Saccharomyces cerevisiae S288C: one gene and its partners. The gene in region 4 interacts genetically with the main gene of each other region. Each region holds a gene or a part of one and is shown on either strand. Other genes may lie near its edges.

What was found.
Region 1: mutations in CNN1 (region 4) and CBF2 impair growth when combined (synthetic growth defect), as found in Saccharomyces cerevisiae (2 studies listed by BioGRID, with this or other methods).
Region 2: mutations in CNN1 (region 4) and DSN1 together harm fitness more than expected from each alone (negative genetic interaction), as found in Saccharomyces cerevisiae (3 studies listed by BioGRID, with this or other methods).
Region 3: mutations in CNN1 (region 4) and YTA7 impair growth when combined (synthetic growth defect), as found in Saccharomyces cerevisiae (one study listed by BioGRID).

What each region holds. Positions count from the first base shown.
Region 1 is NC_001139.9:765,444-770,926, reverse strand, and holds CBF2 (Cbf2p), read right to left. Parts: upstream 3,499-5,483; coding exon 628-3,498; downstream 1-627. Other genes in the region: VPS62 (Vps62p), read right to left, coding at 1-358; TPO2 (spermine transporter), read left to right, coding at 5,321-5,483.
Region 2 is NC_001141.2:373,645-377,675, reverse strand, and holds DSN1 (MIND complex subunit DSN1), read right to left. Parts: upstream 2,246-4,031; coding exon 515-2,245; downstream 1-514. Other genes in the region: STS1 (Sts1p), read left to right, coding at 1-389; U2 snRNP complex subunit MSL1, read right to left, coding at 2,816-3,151; DNA primase subunit PRI1, read left to right, coding at 3,370-4,031. UniProt on the Saccharomyces cerevisiae protein: Acts as an essential component of the kinetochore MIND complex, which is required for the spindle checkpoint and kinetochore integrity.
Region 3 is NC_001139.9:1,025,648-1,032,119, reverse strand, and holds YTA7 (chromatin segregase YTA7), read right to left. Parts: upstream 4,751-6,472; coding exon 611-4,750; downstream 1-610. Other genes in the region: SLH1 (RNA helicase), read right to left, coding at 1-329; HUA1 (Hua1p), read left to right, coding at 5,467-6,063; FOL2 (GTP cyclohydrolase I), read left to right, coding at 6,385-6,472. UniProt on the Saccharomyces cerevisiae protein: Functions as an ATP-dependent nucleosome disassembly factor that helps evict canonical histone H3 from the 5'-end of genes upon their induction.
Region 4 is NC_001138.5:242,557-246,025, forward strand, and holds CNN1 (centromere-binding protein CNN1), read right to left. Parts: upstream 1,604-3,469; coding exon 518-1,603; downstream 1-517. Other genes in the region: MRX20 (Mrx20p), read left to right, coding at 1-443; BNA6 (nicotinate-nucleotide diphosphorylase (carboxylating)), read right to left, coding at 1,723-2,610. UniProt on the Saccharomyces cerevisiae protein: Component of the kinetochore, a multiprotein complex that assembles on centromeric DNA and attaches chromosomes to spindle microtubules, mediating chromosome segregation and sister chromatid segregation during meiosis and mitosis.

The DNA of each region.
Region 1 (5,483 bases), on a different chromosome or scaffold from region 4:
TGTGGTCTCTCAACTGGAATCTTTTTACAAAATCCTTAACATCAGCTGGCCAGTACTTTTCTTCACTATATAAATGGAGCAGAGGGCTATTATCGATGACATATTGCGGTACATTGCCCCTTTGTTTTAAGCTTTTGTTATCCTCGGTAACTTCAGATGGATGTAACGGAGGTGTGCTTGAAAGGATGTCCTTACTCCATGGTTCATCCCCCATTTCTAGAAGCGTTGCTTCAAATGGGTCATCATCCAGCCAAGGCACGAGTACCGCACGGCAGGGTATTATCGAATAAATAATAAATGTAACGAGGAAATATAGCCTCGTTCTTTGCCGCTTATGACTATTTTTTGAGATTCGCATGAAGCTATAAGTTTATTCTTAGTTGCGGTAATAAAGAAGCCTTCTTCCTCTTCTATCTTACCAGGTCTACCAACTCAGTCTTCCTATATTCGTATAGATTTCAAAGTTCAAGGCATCTGAAGTGATGGAACCCCTATAGGTGTTACCCGATTTTCTCACCACAGCAACCGTTGATATTCCGGCAGCCTTTTTCTCATAGTAAACATCATTATATTATAAACATACATGTCGGTATCCCTATACGAAACAGTTTAAACTTCGAAGCTCCCTCAGTTAGATAGATATACTAACAGACCATCAAATGAATTTTGATGGTCATGCCTCCACTTCCTTAGGAACTTTGCCAAGCGCGAAAATGAACCTTCGTTCTGATCTCGTAATTTTTCGCAAATATCAACTGCTTTGTATCTGTCGAGACTCTCATGATTTACCAAATAAATATAGAATTCAACAATTGATTTTCTTTCCTTGTATAAAGCTTCACAATTAGCTCTCCACGACTTGTTACCTGATTTGTTCATTGAATGCACGCATTGGTTGGCGTACTTAGCGTTTGGGGTGAACCATTCAAGAATGATTCCCTCTATGCTGTCTATGGATTTGTCCAGCATAAATTCTTGTTCGTCAGTATAGCTCTTTGCTTCTTGATCTTGCTCAGGAGACGGCGATGCAGTAGTTGACATGGCTTGATGATCATCATTATCTTTCACAGTCTCTGCGTACTTACCACTGGTCCTAAGTTTTTTAGGAACTTCCATATCAAATCCAACATTGTGTTCTTCCGTCATGTATAGTTGTGGCCTCTTCAACGTTGAAAACTTCCCCGTGTGTGAACCAAGTTTTTGCTCGATAATACGAGTGACTTTTTCTTCAAGAATTTTATCTAATAAAGCGTTTATTTTCAATTCAAATTGATCCATTTGGTCCCGTAAAAAAGTGCTTATTTTGGAGTTTATAAGTTCGTTTATCATAGATTTTAACTGCTCTTGCATCTCAGAGTCATTCTCATCTTCATTTTCTCCATATGCGCCATCTTCGATGGATTCACCGTCCTTTTTGAATACATTTGAATCCTCCGTGGAGGATTCGTCGGAGGAATCCGCAATTGAGAGTAATCTAATTTGCTTCGGCCTCTTTGTCCGCCTTGATGTGTTAGGCCCATCTTCATTCACAATGTTTTCTTCTTTTTTAATGGGCTGATTATCACGTATAAATTTATCGGCATCGTCAATCTTAGATTTCTTAATTCTTTCATCCAAGGTAATTTTGAATAAATTAAGCTGATGTAAAATATAGCCTCTTGAAGATTTTTTCATCTCCAATTTCTCAAAAATTTTATTGAATACCGATAATAAAATTTGGAAATTAGAAAGTGTTTGGAACTGCACATATTCGAAACTCTGTTGCTTCAATAATTCATTTAATTGTGTAGTATCAAGTTGACTCATTTGTAATGGCCCCTCAGATTCTTGTTTTTGAGTGGGGTGTGTATCTGGATTATGACTCGAAGCAAATGTCAACTGCGAAGGCCTTTCTATTAAGAGTGAGTAAAAATTTGTCTTATTCTTATAGATTTTATTAAAGCCTGGTAGTATATCGAATGATAAAATGGGTGAACCCTTTGAATGTATAGTTTTGTCATTGAAGTATGATTGAAAATCGGAATTTCCAAAAATGGGGTCCTGGAATATATCATGATTAGGAAAGAATTTGTAAATCCATGGTAGATTGCTCAAAAATCTTTCTCGTAAAACTTCCATTAAATCTAGAAAATCCCTTGAATTCTGAGACAAACCTTCATAATCATGTCTTTTATATTCATCAATCTCCGGAAATATTTGAACTAATAAATCCTTTGGAGGCGGAAAAGGGTCCTTTTTAGCGTTTGTAGAATACGAAGTGTAGGGCGATTTGAAGTTCATGATTTTCTTGAAGTCGAACGGTATTTTGTCAGGGAACGCAAAGGCCTCAGGTTGTTCTAACCAATTTCCATGGTTTTCTTCATTGAAAAATGTTCTAAAAGTGTCTTCATCCCAAGTTGGGTAAACAAGGTTACATTTGTTGAAATATTCTCTTCTTTTATAAGGTAAGTGGCAATACCTAAACACGGTTGTATAATAATTACTAAATGTTTCCTCTCTGGGATAAGTTGTCAGTGATTTGCCTCTTAGTATGGGAATATCTTGTAAAAGTGAGCCATTTTCATCAGCGTTCAAATTGGGAAAGCCATCCCCTTTCGAAACAGATGGTATACCATAGAACCTTAAATACAAATATGCAGCTAATGTAGTTTGAGGGCAGATAAATGGACAATCTTGGGGTAATAATGCAAGGAGTTGATGGTGGCCCGGCGTATCTTTTTTTTCCGCCGAATGAGTTACTTTATGATAAATTATAGCGTCTCTGTCCCTTTTACCGAGCTTGAGGGAACCAAATCGTATCTTTGATCTTTCTTCAAATGAAAGGTTCAAATAACTTCTTAATTGAAAATCCACCAGGAATCTTAATTTTTCAGAACAGGTTTTAAAAAATTTCTCAGAGAGATGGTTAGTTTCTGGGTTCCATAAATTCAAAGACACTTTCAATAATGGTGGACACAGCACTTGAGTATTTGTGTTATTTGTTTCATTAGTGGTGATTGCCTTTTGTGAATCTATCCAATGGGTATGAAGCTTGGTGACTGACTCCAGGTATTTTGTGTCTATATTAGCATTTGGATTTTCATGAACTTTGCACAATTTTGACAAAAAATTGAGACTGCCTATAATTTTCTTCAACGTAGCGATCTTGAATGAATTCTCCTCCTCCTCATCAAGATCTTCAGTCTCTTCTCTTTTCTCTCCAGGCTTATCATCGGTTATTAATGTATCTAACAAAAACCAATGTATCAGTTCAGCAGATATTGGCAGGTCTTTATAGGGGACGCTATTTACAGAATTGTCCTCCGGTGTCGGTATAATTTGATTGAGCTGACACCATTGTATGTACTTAGTATAGTAGGTCTTGTACTGATGCGCAGTTCTTGGCTTTAGGGAGTCCACCAGTTCCTGAAACCTATCTTCTGATGACATAGCTTCTTGCTGTTGCTGAACATCCATAATTTTCATCAATTTTAGTAGAAACAAAATCGATGATCTCATATGTTTTCTACTTTTTCTTGTTTGTTTGTATGCGGTAAAAAAATAAAAGCGAGAGAAAACGCGAAAGGTTCCTGGTATCAAAGTGGGGTAACGGATACCTGGATGTTGAGATACATAACCAAACAAGAAGAATACACTATCCGATTATAGCCCATAACAAATGGCAGTATGCGCACCACTGTTAGCGCATTATTTTGAGATTGTGCTTAACAAACGCAATTACACTGTTGTTTAGCATAAGATATAATAATAACTTTTCACGTTTATCTTGAATGTAATCACTCAAACTCCTTTGTATAAAAGTCCACAGGCATCAATCTACCTATTTGAAGACTCAGCAGCAGAGAGAAAGTTATATAGAGCAAGACAAAGTACACACAAAGAAAGCAGAGAACACAAATATTTGTGGGGAAGAAGCAAGGTGAGTGGCCGCAGTCATTTTCGGATGAATTTGAGGTTCATGTTTTGATGTTTATTTCTATAAGAAAAGTAAGGAGAAGCACCATTGAAGTATAAATATATCAGCACTGAATGCGCCATTACGGCAAAAAGGAAGGGGAATGCAAAAAAATAAAAAATCTGCCTCAGGTTTTAACACTTAAAGGCACGAAAATAAAAATAGAATGCGGCTGCTTACATACCACTAGCTGAGCAAGACAGCTGCCGTTCAATGTTTGTACTTCGCACCATGAGAGTTGTGGATATGTACTTTATGGACGAAGCTGAAACGGCTAACACTATTATTACGCGAACTTTTTCAACACTTTTACTTCGCCACAAGTGCCGAAGATCGAATCTTACCCAAAATCCGGTTATTTTGTACCTATGCAAAAACCCTTCCCCTGATCTATTTGCCATTTAGCCGCCCAAAGTACCGCAGAAGCTGTTACAAACACATCACGGGCCACCGGAAAAAGTATTTTTTTGCTGCTTACCTGAATATATTTGCGCTTAAAAAAATTTTCCGGCGCTTCCGAGTGAAATATACTGCTTAACTGTGTCCGGAGAAACCTCGTGCGGAAAACAGCGCAAACCGCAAAAACCCCGCAATGGGCGCGCTTACTCAAATTCCCTCGGGTGGTCTCACGGGCTGGCCGCAGCGCAGTCGCCTGCCGCACTAAACCTTAAAAATGCGAGAGCGCATGCACGGCGGACGTCGTGGAAGCCTGACGCGTGCGCCCTTCTCCTCCCGAGGGACATAATGTCTTGGTGCCTTACTAGAACCGATTTCTCGAGATGATTCCATAGCCGTTAAATTCATCTCAAAAGAATAGAGAACACAGCAGCGCAGAACGAAAACAAACTGTCGCGTCGCATTTTACTGAACGAGTCATTCGCATATTCTGCTTAGGTGTCTGAGTCTTTTAAACGCATTCTAGGTTTTTCGAAAAAGCCACCGAAGAACACTGCCATCCGCATGCACTGTAATGCCACTGTTTATTTTTTTTTCTTGCTATATATATACATTGCGCATACACCCTTTTGAGGTTTCGTACTAGGATTTTTTTGTATTTGTTTATGTTCTTTTTTCCTGAAGACATCAAGAAGAAATAAGAAAACAAATATATCATTTTATTGTTTGTGTTTATAGAGAACAATATACAACTTCCTTCTCCTACTATATCAAGTTTAATATTTAATTTTTTTTTTTTTTCGGTTTGAATTTTAATTTTAACTTTAATTTCAAAAAGTAATTGATACATTCTTTTATCAAAGCCCTGCTATTATTCTTTATTTCTACACCCTAATATTTTTTGTCCATTGATATTTTTCCTTTAATTCCATCTAATAACTAATCACAAAAATAATACACAAAACAAATATGAGTGATCAAGAATCTGTTGTTTCATTCAACTCACAAAACACTTCCATGGTGGACGTTGAGGGCCAACAACCTCAACAGTATGTCCCCTCAAAAACCAACTCTCGTGCAAATCAACTTAAGTTAACTAAGACTGAGACCGTCAAGTCTTTACAAGATTTAG
Region 2 (4,031 bases), on a different chromosome or scaffold from region 4:
TAGACATTTGCACGGAATTAGTTATCAAATTGCCCAGATTTGAATTAGCTAGTAATAATTACTACTACGATAAATGCATTGAACAATTGTCTCACGTATGGTGTACGCTTATTGAACATGTTGCCCGTGACAGGATAATTTTATTAGCAGATAATAGCTCCGTCTGGAAAAGTCATATGACAAGATTACAGGTATACAATGAACATTCAAATGGGTTATTGGAACGCCCACTCCAGCTGTTCAAATCTTTAGATATGGGTAGCCCTTCAGCAGCATCGTCATCAACATTATCACTTCAAGAAAGTATTATTTACCACCACGATACCATGACAGCAAACGAAAACAATAACAATAGTGGTAGCGCTGCTACTGATTCGCCCTTTAACTAAGGATAGAATGGTTCTTTTGCTTTTTCAAATACATTAATATGTATATATATGTATATATAAATGTATGACTGTGTAATGTTACATATGCAGAAGTATCCGATTTTTTTTTGATTTTTTCTTTTATTTCATAAATCCAGTTTTTTACTGAAAGATAAACTTAATCCCTTCAACAGCTGTTGAGGATTAATCACTTGTGAGTGGTCATCGTCCGTTTCGCTTGAGATCTTTCTCATTGTTTCTATGTTCAATTTATTCACTTTTGAATTTGTTATTTCGTTTAAGGCTAGTGAGTGCGAGTTTAATATATGCGACTGGTACCTTAGCTCATCGACTTTTGTTTCTAACTTTGTCTCAACATCTGCAATCGCAAGGTCTGGCTCTTCTGTATCCGACAACGGTTCCAGTGGTTGTGATGAGAATGAAGTCAATTCTTGCCATTCAAGATCTGGTCTCGAAGTGTCTAAAGTGACTGCCCATTCTTTCACTTCATTTTTGATCGCGTTCACCTTGCTCGTTAAAATGCTAAGATTCTTTGTGTTTTCCACGTTTTTGCTATTAGGTAATAGTTTTTTTGGTTCTTTCGGTAGGGCTTTTCTCCTTTCACTAAATTTACGTCTAGACCTCTGTATTTCCGAGTAGTCCACCTCATCGTCGTCGTCGTCGTCGTCGTCGTTTTCCTGAAACAGTTGTCGCAGTTCCGTGTCATCGTAGTTTTCAGTATTATCCAGAATCTTCTCCTCATCTTCATCCTCATATTTTTCCTCATCTTCCCAATCTATCGCAATATGATCTTTTTTAAGATCATCGACAAACTCTTTTATTATCACCATAGCCAGACGTTTGGGATCCACATAATCAGTTTCTGCCTTTGTTGATTCGAGCTTGGATTTTTTGGTCAGATGTTCAAGTTCCCCTTCTTCCTCTTGGTTTTTAGCCTTCAACTCCAATTTATGCAGAGATCTCATTAAACACCAGTTGAAAAGCTGTCGTATTTGTAAATTTTTACCAAAAGACGCATTTCCAACCACGGTGTAAAAATCCTCTTCAGGAATATCCTTGTGCGGAGATATAATAGTGCTTCCCCCATTAGCTTGAGATGCTAACATAGACAATCTTCTACCTCTCTGACTTCCGATTGATTTTTTCCTTTCCCTTGTTCGTTGAATGTAGTGTGGTTGCTGAAGTTGTTGTTGATGGAATGATCCGTACGGAAACAATTGCGGAGCTGGCAGCAATTGTTGTGATGAAGATATATTTTGGGGAGTAGTCATATCGGGACCGCCTGCAGCAGTGGGTTGCGAATAAAAGGGCTGTAATGAGGAGTTGGGCATAATCGAATGCATTGGTGATCCAGGATATGGTATCATTGCAGGAGTTGGTGCATTCATCGGATGGTAGTAATAGTAATAAGGCATATATGGAGCGGGCATTGCACTTGCATTAACATTCGCAGTCGCATTTGCAGTCGCATTTGCAGTCGCATTTGCAGTCGCATCTCCACTATGATTGTCGTCAGCAATTGGCGCAGAAGAATTGAAATTCTCCACTCTCTTGGCCTTTTTTATATCTTGCAGGTTATCCAGCCTTTCGCCCAGAGTAGGGAACCCCTGGATATGTTTATTCTTGTGTCGTTTGAATTTCAAATCGGGGCTCAAATTCGACACGGATTGTTTATTCTCAAAATATTCGGTCTCCTCCTCATCTTTCTGGGTGGGCTCGTTGCTTTGTAGAGTAGCCTTGGAGTCGGATTCCAATATTGGGATAGTTTCCATCCGCAATGGGTATACTTGTTTGTGTGTTCTTTGATGCAGCATCGGCGGCGTACCGGAGACCGTTTGTGTGGGTTCCAGACTCATCCTCTACCTAAATAAAGAAAAATTTGTGTGTGGTACAATAGAAGAGGCCCGGTTTCACAACTCTGCCTGGTACTTTGTGCTTTTATCAATTGGCGGTTCTTTTGATGTTTATTTTGATTTGTTTATCATTTGTGAATTTTTGCTTTTACTAGAAATATATATCATTTTAAACGAAGCCACATATAAACGCTGAACTACACTGTAATTCATCATATAGTAAGCTGTCTTATATACTAAATTATCACTTCCAAAATGTAATAAACGTCTTTTGGCAATGGGGTACTCTGTGGTTTGCCCTTTGTATTATTTAAGCAATTGAAGTGAGGAATAAGCGGCCGTTCTGCAGTATGTCTTTTCGGGAGACTCTTTCTGCTACAGATTTTTGTAGATTCTATATCTACTCCATATTGATACATGCCTTGATATTATTTGTCCGTTGACGACCATCTATAACGCCGGGTTGTTTGGATATAAACATTTTGGTTTGGTTCTGCGCTCTTGACTTTGATGTGCCCCTATGGCAGCTCTTCTCGGTATATACGTGCTGCTATGAATAGAGCGTTAAGCCAGTCATAGTGTTTTAGTTTCACTCTTGCTGAACTCAACTTTCAAAGGCTTACCAAAGAATCGCTCGCCGTTTAATGAAATCTGGGCCAGACTGGCCTGGTCGATGGTTCTCATGGTGATAAAGGCTTGGCCCCGCTGTTTCTTGAAATTCATGCTAACCTTCAGTACCTCTCCAAACGTAGCAAAGAGCAAAAAAAGGTTTACTCGCAGTCGTTGCATATTAATTTTTTCATTAAGCTGGCTCACGTACAGCGTATTTTTAGCTTCCGTTACTGGTTCAGCCACAGTGTGATGAGTATCGCGATCAATCCTCTGCTTTTTCCTTGCTGGTTCAACCATTACTATATCCTACGTGTGAATGATGCGTGAGTTTCGAAACAGTTGCTCGGTCAGTGCCCTTTGCCACTTTTACCTATTGTTTTCTTTCAGTTGAAAAGTTTCATAACGCCAAAAAGATAAAAAATTAATCAAAAATACTTTGAAGCTGAAGAGAAAAGCGTGCCATAATACTAGCAAAAATTAGTTTTAGCAACTCAAAAAACTGTTTTATAAACATCATGACCAATTCAGTAAAGACTAATGGGCCAAGCTCCTCAGACATGGAGTACTACTATAAGTCGCTCTATCCATTCAAACACATTTTCAACTGGCTGAATCATTCGCCCAAACCTTCTAGGGATATGATTAACAGAGAATTCGCTATGGCGTTCAGGTCAGGTGCTTACAAAAGGTATAATTCTTTTAACTCTGTGCAAGATTTCAAAGCACAAATAGAAAAAGCCAACCCAGACAGATTTGAAATCGGTGCCATATATAACAAACCGCCAAGAGAACGTGATACTCTATTAAAAAGCGAATTGAAAGCTTTAGAGAAGGAGTTGGTGTTTGATATTGATATGGATGATTACGATGCCTTCAGAACGTGTTGCTCCGGAGCCCAAGTTTGCTCTAAGTGCTGGAAATTTATATCTTTGGCAATGAAAATTACGAACACGGCCCTAAGAGAGGATTTTGGTTATAAGGACTTCATCTGGGTATTTTCAGGTAGACGTGGTGCTCATTGTTGGGTAAGCGACAAACGGGCACGGGCTTTGACGGATGTACAACGAAGAAACGTTTTAGATTATGTCAACGTGATTAGAGACAGAAATACTGACAAGCGATTGGCTTTGAAGAGGCCTTATCACCCTCATCTTGCTCGTTCTTTGGAGCAATTGAA
Region 3 (6,472 bases), on a different chromosome or scaffold from region 4:
GTTTCAGCTTCATTGATTAGTTTTCCAATTTTTTTATATACTGCAACTGCATTCTTTGTTTTGTATGAATCAATTATAGATTGCAGTTGAGCAAATGAAATGTCTTTAAACTCCTCAAATATATCATCCCAATCATTTCTATCTTGTGAGAGAACAGTTAGTTCAGTTCTTTGATTTTGTTCATCCTTTTGGACTTTTTTTAGCTCGTCATCAAAATCTGGTAAAGAGATTTTCGATCTATCTAGATTAAAGGTTTGTGAAGTATCAATCATAGATTGCATTGCAATCATAAATGATTTAGATGAATCAGCAGAGTATTCAGTTGACATCTTGAGCCGGCTATTGATGGTACGGATCTACTTCTCACAATTCCAATGGTGTTAGAAGATATTATGAACATGTTTAATTTCAATATGTTCAATACATATTCCATTCTCGGTCATTACCCGAAACGTATGCCAGAACAGTGACTGTTAAAATAAAGTAGTGGAAAAAAGCATAATATATATACAAGGTGTGGTTTTAAATCTATTTCTTTTCAAGAAAAGTGCACATTCATGTATATGAACTAACTACATTTAAGAATTATATAAACATTATGGACTCCTGCTTATTCAGATAAAAATTTTATTATTTCATCGACAGTTCCTGTTTTATCCCATGCTGATTTACTTTTCCATATTATTTTTGCAACGGACGAATGAACATCTTCTAATTGAGAAACCGTAAAATTCTGACAGTGTTCGATTAAGCATGCAGATACTTTTTTTATTTGTTCGGGCGTCAAAATAAGCTCCTTGTCGCTCTTCTTCCCTTGCTCCGGTTCCACAACCTCTTTTGGTATCGGACTTCGTTCCCTTTTTTCTACCGTTTCGTGGAGGGAATTTGGTTTGTTAACCGATTGAATTTCCTTTACGTGATTTATATTATTAGTATTAGCGTCTATTTTGCTGAAGTTTTCTTCCGTAACCTGCGTTTGCAAAGAGTCTTCATTCTCTTTTGGTTCTTTTCTGGCCCTTTCATCATCATCGGTGGTTATCTCTGACGTGCAAGTGGCCTGTATCAGTTCCGTTGTGTATTCTTCATTTGCACCGCTATCCTCAGGGATGACCGCTTTTTCTTTATCTACTGCAGAGGGAATTGCCGCAGGAATCTCCTTTTTATACAGGTTGGTATCAATTGGTTGAGGGACCTCGCTGTTATTAACGATAGAGGCTGTATTGATAGTTGTTTGCAGCTGAGCTTGCAATTGATTACCAGCAGCTACACCAAACTCATTAGCCTTGTTATCCTTTAAATCAGGTTCTTGCAGTATATTTTCTTGACTCTGTTCTTTGGCTTCTAATTCCATTGCAGCTCTTTTCTCTTCATCTTCTAAGAAAAGTTCCTGCCTTTCCAAATCCCTTTGGCGAGTAGCTTTACACTCTTGAATAAAATCCGGGGTTGAAATTTCTTCGATACCCATTTGCGCGTTGGCAAACATCTCAGAGGCCTTAATGACACGTTCTCTGTCCCCAATGGTATTTGCATCCCTGTATATCAGTTCAATGTCTTTTAAAAACTGTTTTGGTTCTGAGTAATAGCCATTCCAAAGTCTCTCTTCGACAATATCCAAATCCATGTTAAAAAACTTTCGCCCTGTTGAAACCTCCAGAATCATGTTCTCATCTTTTATATATGCAGGTTGCCAATTGGGATCATTGCTTGTCTCTGGTTCGAAAAGATGAACCAAGAAGGCATCATCAATAGGTGGTTTTCTAAACCTTTTATATCTGTTTTTAAAAAGATCCATCAAGCCTGAGAGTTTGATTTTTAACACATTTTTCAATCTCATATCTTGGTGTTGAAAAGATTTCAACTTCCTTCTTAATACCACTTTTTCAGACAGTGGCTCACCATTTTCATCAAAATTTGTTGGAGCTGCGTTTGAAGTTACTTTTTGTAATTCAGGTAACGGTTTGACTCTTCTCTTTTTCATGGGAATATCACTTGGCTTTGTTTTCAGTAGTTCAATTAAATTAGAAAAATACCTCGTTATATTCTCTTTGGATGGTTTATGCAGTTGAAAGATATTTTTATCAAAAGCAAAATCAGATAAAATACCATTTTTAACTTCAGATATATCAAGATTTTCAGCTAAGCATAATAGAAGAATTTTTTCATTGCTTTGTAAAGATCTGAACAAACCTGATAAGACTAAAATAACGTTTTCTGGAATAGTGTTGATCCAAATGTCTAAATTAGGAATAAATACAACTGAGGGCTGTCTTTTCTTTGCTTCCATAAAACTTTGCACTACAGCAGCTTCAATAGTCCTAGAACTTTCCGAAACCAAAGAGGCAAGGTCCAGGTTTTGGACGTTGAATTCTTCTAAATAATTTAAAATTGCGGCTCCGACATATTGTTGACCATTTCCCTTGGGCCCATTTATTAATAACCGAGGTTTACAAATTTGTGATTCCGCCATCGATTCGAAAAACTCATATGATCTAAAACTGGATGTATCTTCATTTCCTCCATATTTGTCATGCTCTTCTTCCTCTCCACTGTATTCTTCATAATCGATGAAATTTTGTAGCAATGATGTGTTTCTCTGAAAAGTTGTGTCTTTAATGTTCAGCATATAATCCAGCTTGTTCTTTAAATTATTAAGTTGATCTGCCAGTAATGGTTTGATTAATTCAGGTAGTGGCTGAGGAGAACTACCAGTAGATCTCGCAGATGACGGAACAATTTTTTTCAAAGCTAACATGAAATCGCTAACTTTGACTTTAATCTTAGAAGGGTCCACCAAGAGTTTATCATTTGACCTATAAATTTGAGGAAAGCTTCTTTGTATACTTATTAGTGCAGCCTCAGTGCATAGGGACCTCAGATCAGCACCACCATATCCTTTGGTCAAAAAAGCCAATTTATCAATGAAGTTGGTTGACAACGGTGAACTCCATTTCCTGGTCTGAATTTGCAAAATTTTAAAACGTGCTTTAACATCAGGTAATGGAAAATAAAATTCTCTATCAAATCTTCCCGGCCTTCTTAATGCGGGATCCACTGCATCGGGTCGATTTGTGGCTCCGATGACAATGACTTGGCCTCTATTGTCCATACCATCCATCAGCGCTAATAATGTGGAAACAATACTAGCATGGATCTGTTCTTGTTTGGAACTTCTCACAGGCGCTAATCCGTCGATTTCATCAAAAAAAATGATGGAAGGTTGATGTTTTTTAGCTTCTTCGAATAACAAACGGAGTTGTCTTTCAGCTTCACCAACCCACTTGGATAAAATATCTGCACCTTTACGCATAAAAAATGTGATCTTCCTTTCATCAGAAGAACAACTTGCTGCTAACGCTCTTGCCATAAGTGTTTTACCCGTACCAGGAGGACCATGGAAAAGAACACCCCTTGGGGGCGTGATATTAAAATTTTGATACAATTCTGGGTATAATAGTGGTAAGGCCACCATTTCCTTTAATTGGTCAATGTAGTTGTCTAAACCACCTATATCGTCAAAATTTACATTCATGTCTACGCCTAATGGATCGAGGTCTGCAATTTCTGGTTTTTTCTTCTTCTTTTTTTGCGTGTTCTCTTTCTTTGTTTTCGGTGTCACGCCAAGAGGTAATATCTCATCATCGGAAGAGTCTGAATCCAGTATTAATTTATTGTTGTTATTATCACTGAATGCAGATGGGACTTGGTTGTAAAAATTAGTATTCTTACCAAATATTGTAGTTACGTCATTGCCACCAAAAGGTCCACCAGTGGGAAAAAGCCTTCTTGTGGGACCAGAATTTTGACTAGCATTCCAACCACCGCGACCACGCCGTGCAGGTGATGGGTTATGAAAAGAAAGTGCATTGTTATTCTTATCTATAAATTCTTCTGCGTTGCTAGCAGTTAGTGGTGGTGGTAATTTGTAATTTACCGGCTTAGTTCTTTCGCGAAGAAATCTTTTTTCCCTGATAGGACTATCTTCCTGTAACTCTCTAATTTCATCAGCTAAAGTTAACGCTTCATTCCTGCTATTATCATTCTCATCGTCATTTTCTTCATTTGAAGTACGCGAATGTCTTGTCCTACTTCTTAAAGCTCTTCTTACCGGTGGTGGAGTTTCTGGGTGACGTGACGATCTTGTTCTTCGAGAATTTGCCCTTTTCAAACGTTTAGAAGAAGCCGAATGGCTTATTCTGTCTCCTTCTTCGTCATCCTCATCGTATTCTTCATCGTCATCAGGGTCTGGTACTACAAATTTCCTATCGGCCGCTCTGCGCCGACGGTTGTTATCCTTCGAGTCTTCATCCAAATACTCATCTTCAAATTCGTCTGCTTCTTCCTCCTCTTCATCATCGTCGACATCTTCCTCATGAAAACTTTCGTCATCTTCTTCTGGATCATGCGCTTTTCTTTTTCTCAAGTTCCTTTCATTAGTAAGCTCTTCGTTCGTTCTGGCGTTTTCGTGCGGTGATACAAGATCAACATCATCGTCTTCATCATCGCCTTTCTGGTTGTTGTTATGATGTTCATCACTAGTAACATCAACGGGCGTCTCATCTTTGTCCATGACCTGGTCATCTTCCAAAAAATCAAACACTTTCTCAATTTCTGCGTAGTTTATTTTTCTCAAAGAGCGAGTTGTTGTATGGATTATGCCATTTTCGTCTTTAATCTGTGTTTCATACCCAACCTTTGCGTTGCTTGCATCTTCAACGTCGCTACCGCGTCTATTCCTTAAATTTCGTGCCATGTTCTTTCTGCACCAATTGTGAATAAATAGCGAGAAGAGAGAAATAGACCGTGGTAACTTCTTTTTATGACTGTCGAAAACAACAATGGGTTAGTAAGGAGTACGCAAGATCCTTCAGACGTTTTGCTTTATTTAAGACCCTACGCAGTTCCTTTTCTGCTCCTTTTCGTCCCAATATTGCTCTTTCGCTACCACTTTGTCCTTTTTCGCACACATGGCCGTACAAAATAACAGACGGTACGTTTTTAGTGATAATAAACAAGTTTATAGAGGCAGAAAAAAATTCCTCAGCGGCTAATGCCTCAACAAGTTCAGCTGCAAACGATGAAAAGACGCACACAAAAGCGAATAGAAATAACCGATCACCACAGTTCCTCTTTAAAACATCTCAAACTCAGCATTAACTTTCAAATCAATCCAGTGAAAGTATGCTTGGTTTGACACTTCACTGCCATTTCCTCCTGCCTGCCTATCTGATGCTTTGCCACCACAAGAGTGTTTTCCCTATGGCTTAATCGCTTTTTTCCATTTATTTTTCTCTTTCCCCCTTTTAATAGAGGGAAGAGAGCAGAACATACAAACATATCATTTTCTACGGTATAGCCTCCGCCTCCATCTTTAATAGTGACACTTCCATCAAGGGAATAAAGAGGCTTCAAGTCAAGAACTAAGCAGTCCCAAAAAATACCCATAAAACGAGTATAAACCATACTGTTATGTCTAAAGACACGCATGATGATGAACTGCCGAGCTACGAGGACGTAATCAAGGAAGAGGAGAGATTGCAATCTCAACCGCCACGACCACCAAGACCAGCAGCTAACTTGGCGCAAGGGCACCAATCAAGACCCCACCAAAGGCCCTCGACAATGCCAGCAACGTCCTCATCCCAAACATATGCTCACTCACACTCTTATACGCCTACAAGTTCCCAACCACGGCCTCCACCGAGGCCACAACAGAATCCTAGCTTGCCCTGGACATACCCTCCCAGGTTTTACTGTTCCAAGTGTGGAAATACGGGTTACAAGTTGAAGAATGGACGATCTTGCAAGTCGTGTTGGAGGAGGTTTGCACCTCAAAATAACGTTGTTTCTGCACCGACATATTACACAAACTATACAATGCCCGTGTACACCAACGCATGGCAGGGTAATAGGCCCTTGTACGTTCAACCAGGGGATCCTCGCCTGGGTGGCGTGCTATGTGGTGAATGCAGAGGGTCCGGACGCACCAGATTCCTGTTGGACGAAGATATATGTCCTCTTTGTCATGGTGTAGGCAGAATTATCACCCAGCCTCAACGCTATTAGCGCATGAAAATTTAGGATTTGGATGACCCGGTACGGCCTTAGTAGAAAAGCTGTGTCGCTCACCGAAAAGAAAAAAGACCGAACAACTGTAGGATGAAAAGCATATTTTAATGCTCCTAATTTTCAAACATGTCTATTACATACTTATCACATAATCCGACTGATTTGCCCTTCTTTAACTTCTTTCATTTATTTTTACGGTGCCAACCGTCTGATCGATATAGCATCCGTTCATAAAATATTATACGACTCCATCCTCAATCGTGATTGTGCGTGCGTGACTCATTTTTTGTTAGAACCAATACTTTCAATCATCCCAAAATGCATAACATCCAATTAGTGCAAGAGATAGAAAGACATGAAACCCCGTTAAACATTAGACCTACCTCTCCATACACTTTAAACCCTC
Region 4 (3,469 bases):
GTATCGAGAAACTACTTCCAGCGGTAAAACACATGTATCAAACAAGAGGCCCTGCTGCGTTCGTCCAGGGAACAACAGCCACCATATTTAGGCAGATAGCTAACACCTCTATTCAATTTACTGCATACACAGCATTTAAACGGTTGTTACAAGCAAGAAACGACAAGGCATCCTCAGTAATAACGGGGTTAGCCACATCTTTTACACTCGTGGCAATGACTCAGCCCATTGACGTCGTAAAAACAAGGATGATGAGTCAAAATGCCAAAACTGAATATAAAAATACCTTAAATTGCATGTATAGAATATTTGTTCAAGAAGGCATGGCCACATTCTGGAAGGGCTCCATCTTTAGGTTTATGAAAGTCGGTATTTCAGGAGGCTTAACGTTCACTGTTTATGAACAGGTTAGTTTGTTACTAGGCTTCTCTTCCAGGTCTTGATAATTTTGTGGATCTTTTACTCTTTTCTGTACATAAATTGCCACTATTTAATTATTTTCTCTACGGTATCTTTTTTAGAACAAATAACTTTCAATTCTTGATTGAAGTTCTAAGGGAAGCAATTCGTGCGCGAGCTCAAACATATCATCAACGTTATTGATAATACCCATATCGATAAACGAATCTACCAATTCCTGTTTTTGTAACGTGCCGATTTTTTGTTTCAAGAAATCCATTATATTTAAAGATTCCTCCTGTATAGTAGACCACGTTTGTTTCGGCAATATTATCCTATTCTCATTCAAAAATTGCCTTGTAAGATGTTTTAGATCCATTATTTGCAGCGGTTTTATAGAAGAACGTCTCACCGCAGGGACATTTAAACGGATAGGATCGTTGCCTATATCATCCAAATTTTCGTCACTGGTGTTTTCAAACGAATAATCTTCGTTTTCTGCTTCTTCTGTCTCCTCTTTATCGTCGCTTGGTAAATCTTCAGATAGTGGTTCTTCCTGTTGCGTTATGGAAATTGGTACCGGATCACGTACTGGCGGTTCATCTACCTGATCCATTCCAATGCTTGGCGACGTGCGCAAAACTTCCATAGAGATACTGTTAGCTTTATCTGGAGAGTGCACTGTCAATTCATCCTCGTGTCCTGTCGTGGGAACATCTTGTATTATTATCGGGTCAATCTTCCTACTTTTCAAGCCTTTGTCTCTTTCCTGCAATTTTGCAAATACTGTTTGCGATAAGGAAGTATAATCAGGTTGCGTTTCATTGCCAATGTTGTTATCTGTCAGTTTCTCACTTCTGCTCCGAAGAAGCTCATTCTCCTCTGGTTGGCTCTCTTCGTACGCTAATTCATCTATTAGATTCCGTGCTTGAGTTTTATTAGTAGTTGTATCGTTGCCTTGTGATTTGCGTGCTAACACTTGGCTTAAGTCTTGTAAAAAACTTCGTACTTCGTTCGGATCTTTATTGAGGATGTCATGAGACTTAGTAGAAGCAGATAAAAGTTTTCTATAACCTGGCGTATTTCTGATCAGTACCTCATCCTTGAGACGTTGTTCTTCAAGGGCTCTCTCCCGAAAGGGGGTTCTGATCTCTGAGACTTCTGTATTCTCGTTGTTACCGGCGGCCTTCCTGGGAGTGCTCATTATTCATTTCTTATTTCGTTACTAATCGTCGTGTGTGTCATTAATCGGTAACGCGTAGCTTCTTAATCTTATTTAGAATATGTAAATAAAAAAAAGTAAAAATCGAAGCCTAAGCATTTTCAATGAGCCAGTTTCAATGAGAAATCAATCACTGGTGTGCCTTGATGAATGCTACTAGTGCTGTAAATGTCAATGTCATCGCACAAATACTCCTCGAGGTTGTCCAAATTCAAGCCTCCACTACATTCCAAGAGGAAATGCTTTTTACCATTCCATTTGTTCTTAAGACTTTGGGCGCACATTTTCAAACCGTCACCTTTGAAATTATCCAACATGATAACGTCTGCACCAGCTTCAATGGCCTCTGTGGCTTCATCTTCACTCAAACACTCCACTTCGATCTTCACAGCAAACCCGCACACGGCCCTGGCGTTCTTAACTGCGTTTGTTATAGAACCAGTAGCCCAAATATGATTATCTTTGAGCATGACCATAGAGGAAAGGTCGTATCTGTGCGTGTCGCAGCCACCTACAAGCATGGAATACTTTTCTAATCTACGTAAACCTGGTGTAGTCTTTCTTGTCCCCGCAATGGTCCCCTTGTAACCAGTCGAACGCGCCAAACTGATTATCTTATGTGAGGCGGTGGCAATTCCACTACTTCTACTAAGGATGTTCAAGGCGGTTCTTTCAGCTAATAGAATGTTTTTAGCGGGCCCAGTAATTTTAGCTACAACAATCTTACCAGAGTCATTCTTCGAAGGCTCCAAGAAGGAGCCTTCCTTAAACAACCACTCAACTTGCAATTCGCACTGATTAAAGACTTCTTGCGCAAAGGGGACACCACACAGCATACCATCCTGCTTACAGTACAAATTGGCCTCCTTTAGGTCGGAACCAACAACATATCCACCAAAATCAAAAGAAGGAACGTCCTCGCTCAGCCAATTGGTGACGTCTTGTCTCCATGCTCCATTAACGGGCAATAAGTGTTCATAAACAGGCATTTTTTTTTTTTGGTGTGTGTTCTTTCTGAGGATTGCGTTCTTTTTGTTGCGTTATTAAGTGGTGTCTTTAATTTTCGAATTTATGGCCCAAGATATACGAAAACTGCGGTAGGAGTCATGATAAATGGGGGCTCTTCAACCAACCGGCGTCACCAAAAGCAAAAATATCCTGGAGCGAAATATCACATTGTTTGTAACCAAGCTTGTACCTTTGACAAGTTAACTTACGTCTTGCCGGGGTTTGCTACTACGCATTCAAGTATATAAAACGTTGTGACACACAAGTTGATAGAAACCTCAGGATGTATAACTACAATTCTAGTTTCCATCTCATTAGTCCCAAATGACAATAAAAAAAATTACTGGCCATGGAAGATGACAAGCCGAATATTAGCTCCTTCGATCGAACTGTGCGTGGAGAAGAAGCTACTACTATTTAATAATTAGTATCCCGTGATTTTGAGCTGTCGCTGGCATTATGTACCTGACATTAGGTATTTAGGAAAGGTAGGGTAGATCAGTTTAGTACCTCAATGGGTGCGGAAGGTTAATCTTGAAAAATTTGCGATTAGTAGACAAGTTTATTCTCACAAGAACAAAATATTCAGTTCATTTCAGATATGATCGTGAAGGTGGAAATCTTTTTTTTAAAAATGAGAAGTGTGCCCAACAAAGAAGTAAAAGACAAGTTAGCTTTCTGTCATGCTTGAAAACTTTATGGAAGCCTGTGCATTGGCATTAGAGGCATCTCCGACAATCAGAAGAACACTTCTTGTTATTATAATTACCCATATATTTTTTTTTTTTTCAAATTGACTACTAGGAAAAAGTGACAATTTATAGTAAAACTGGCTAGAAA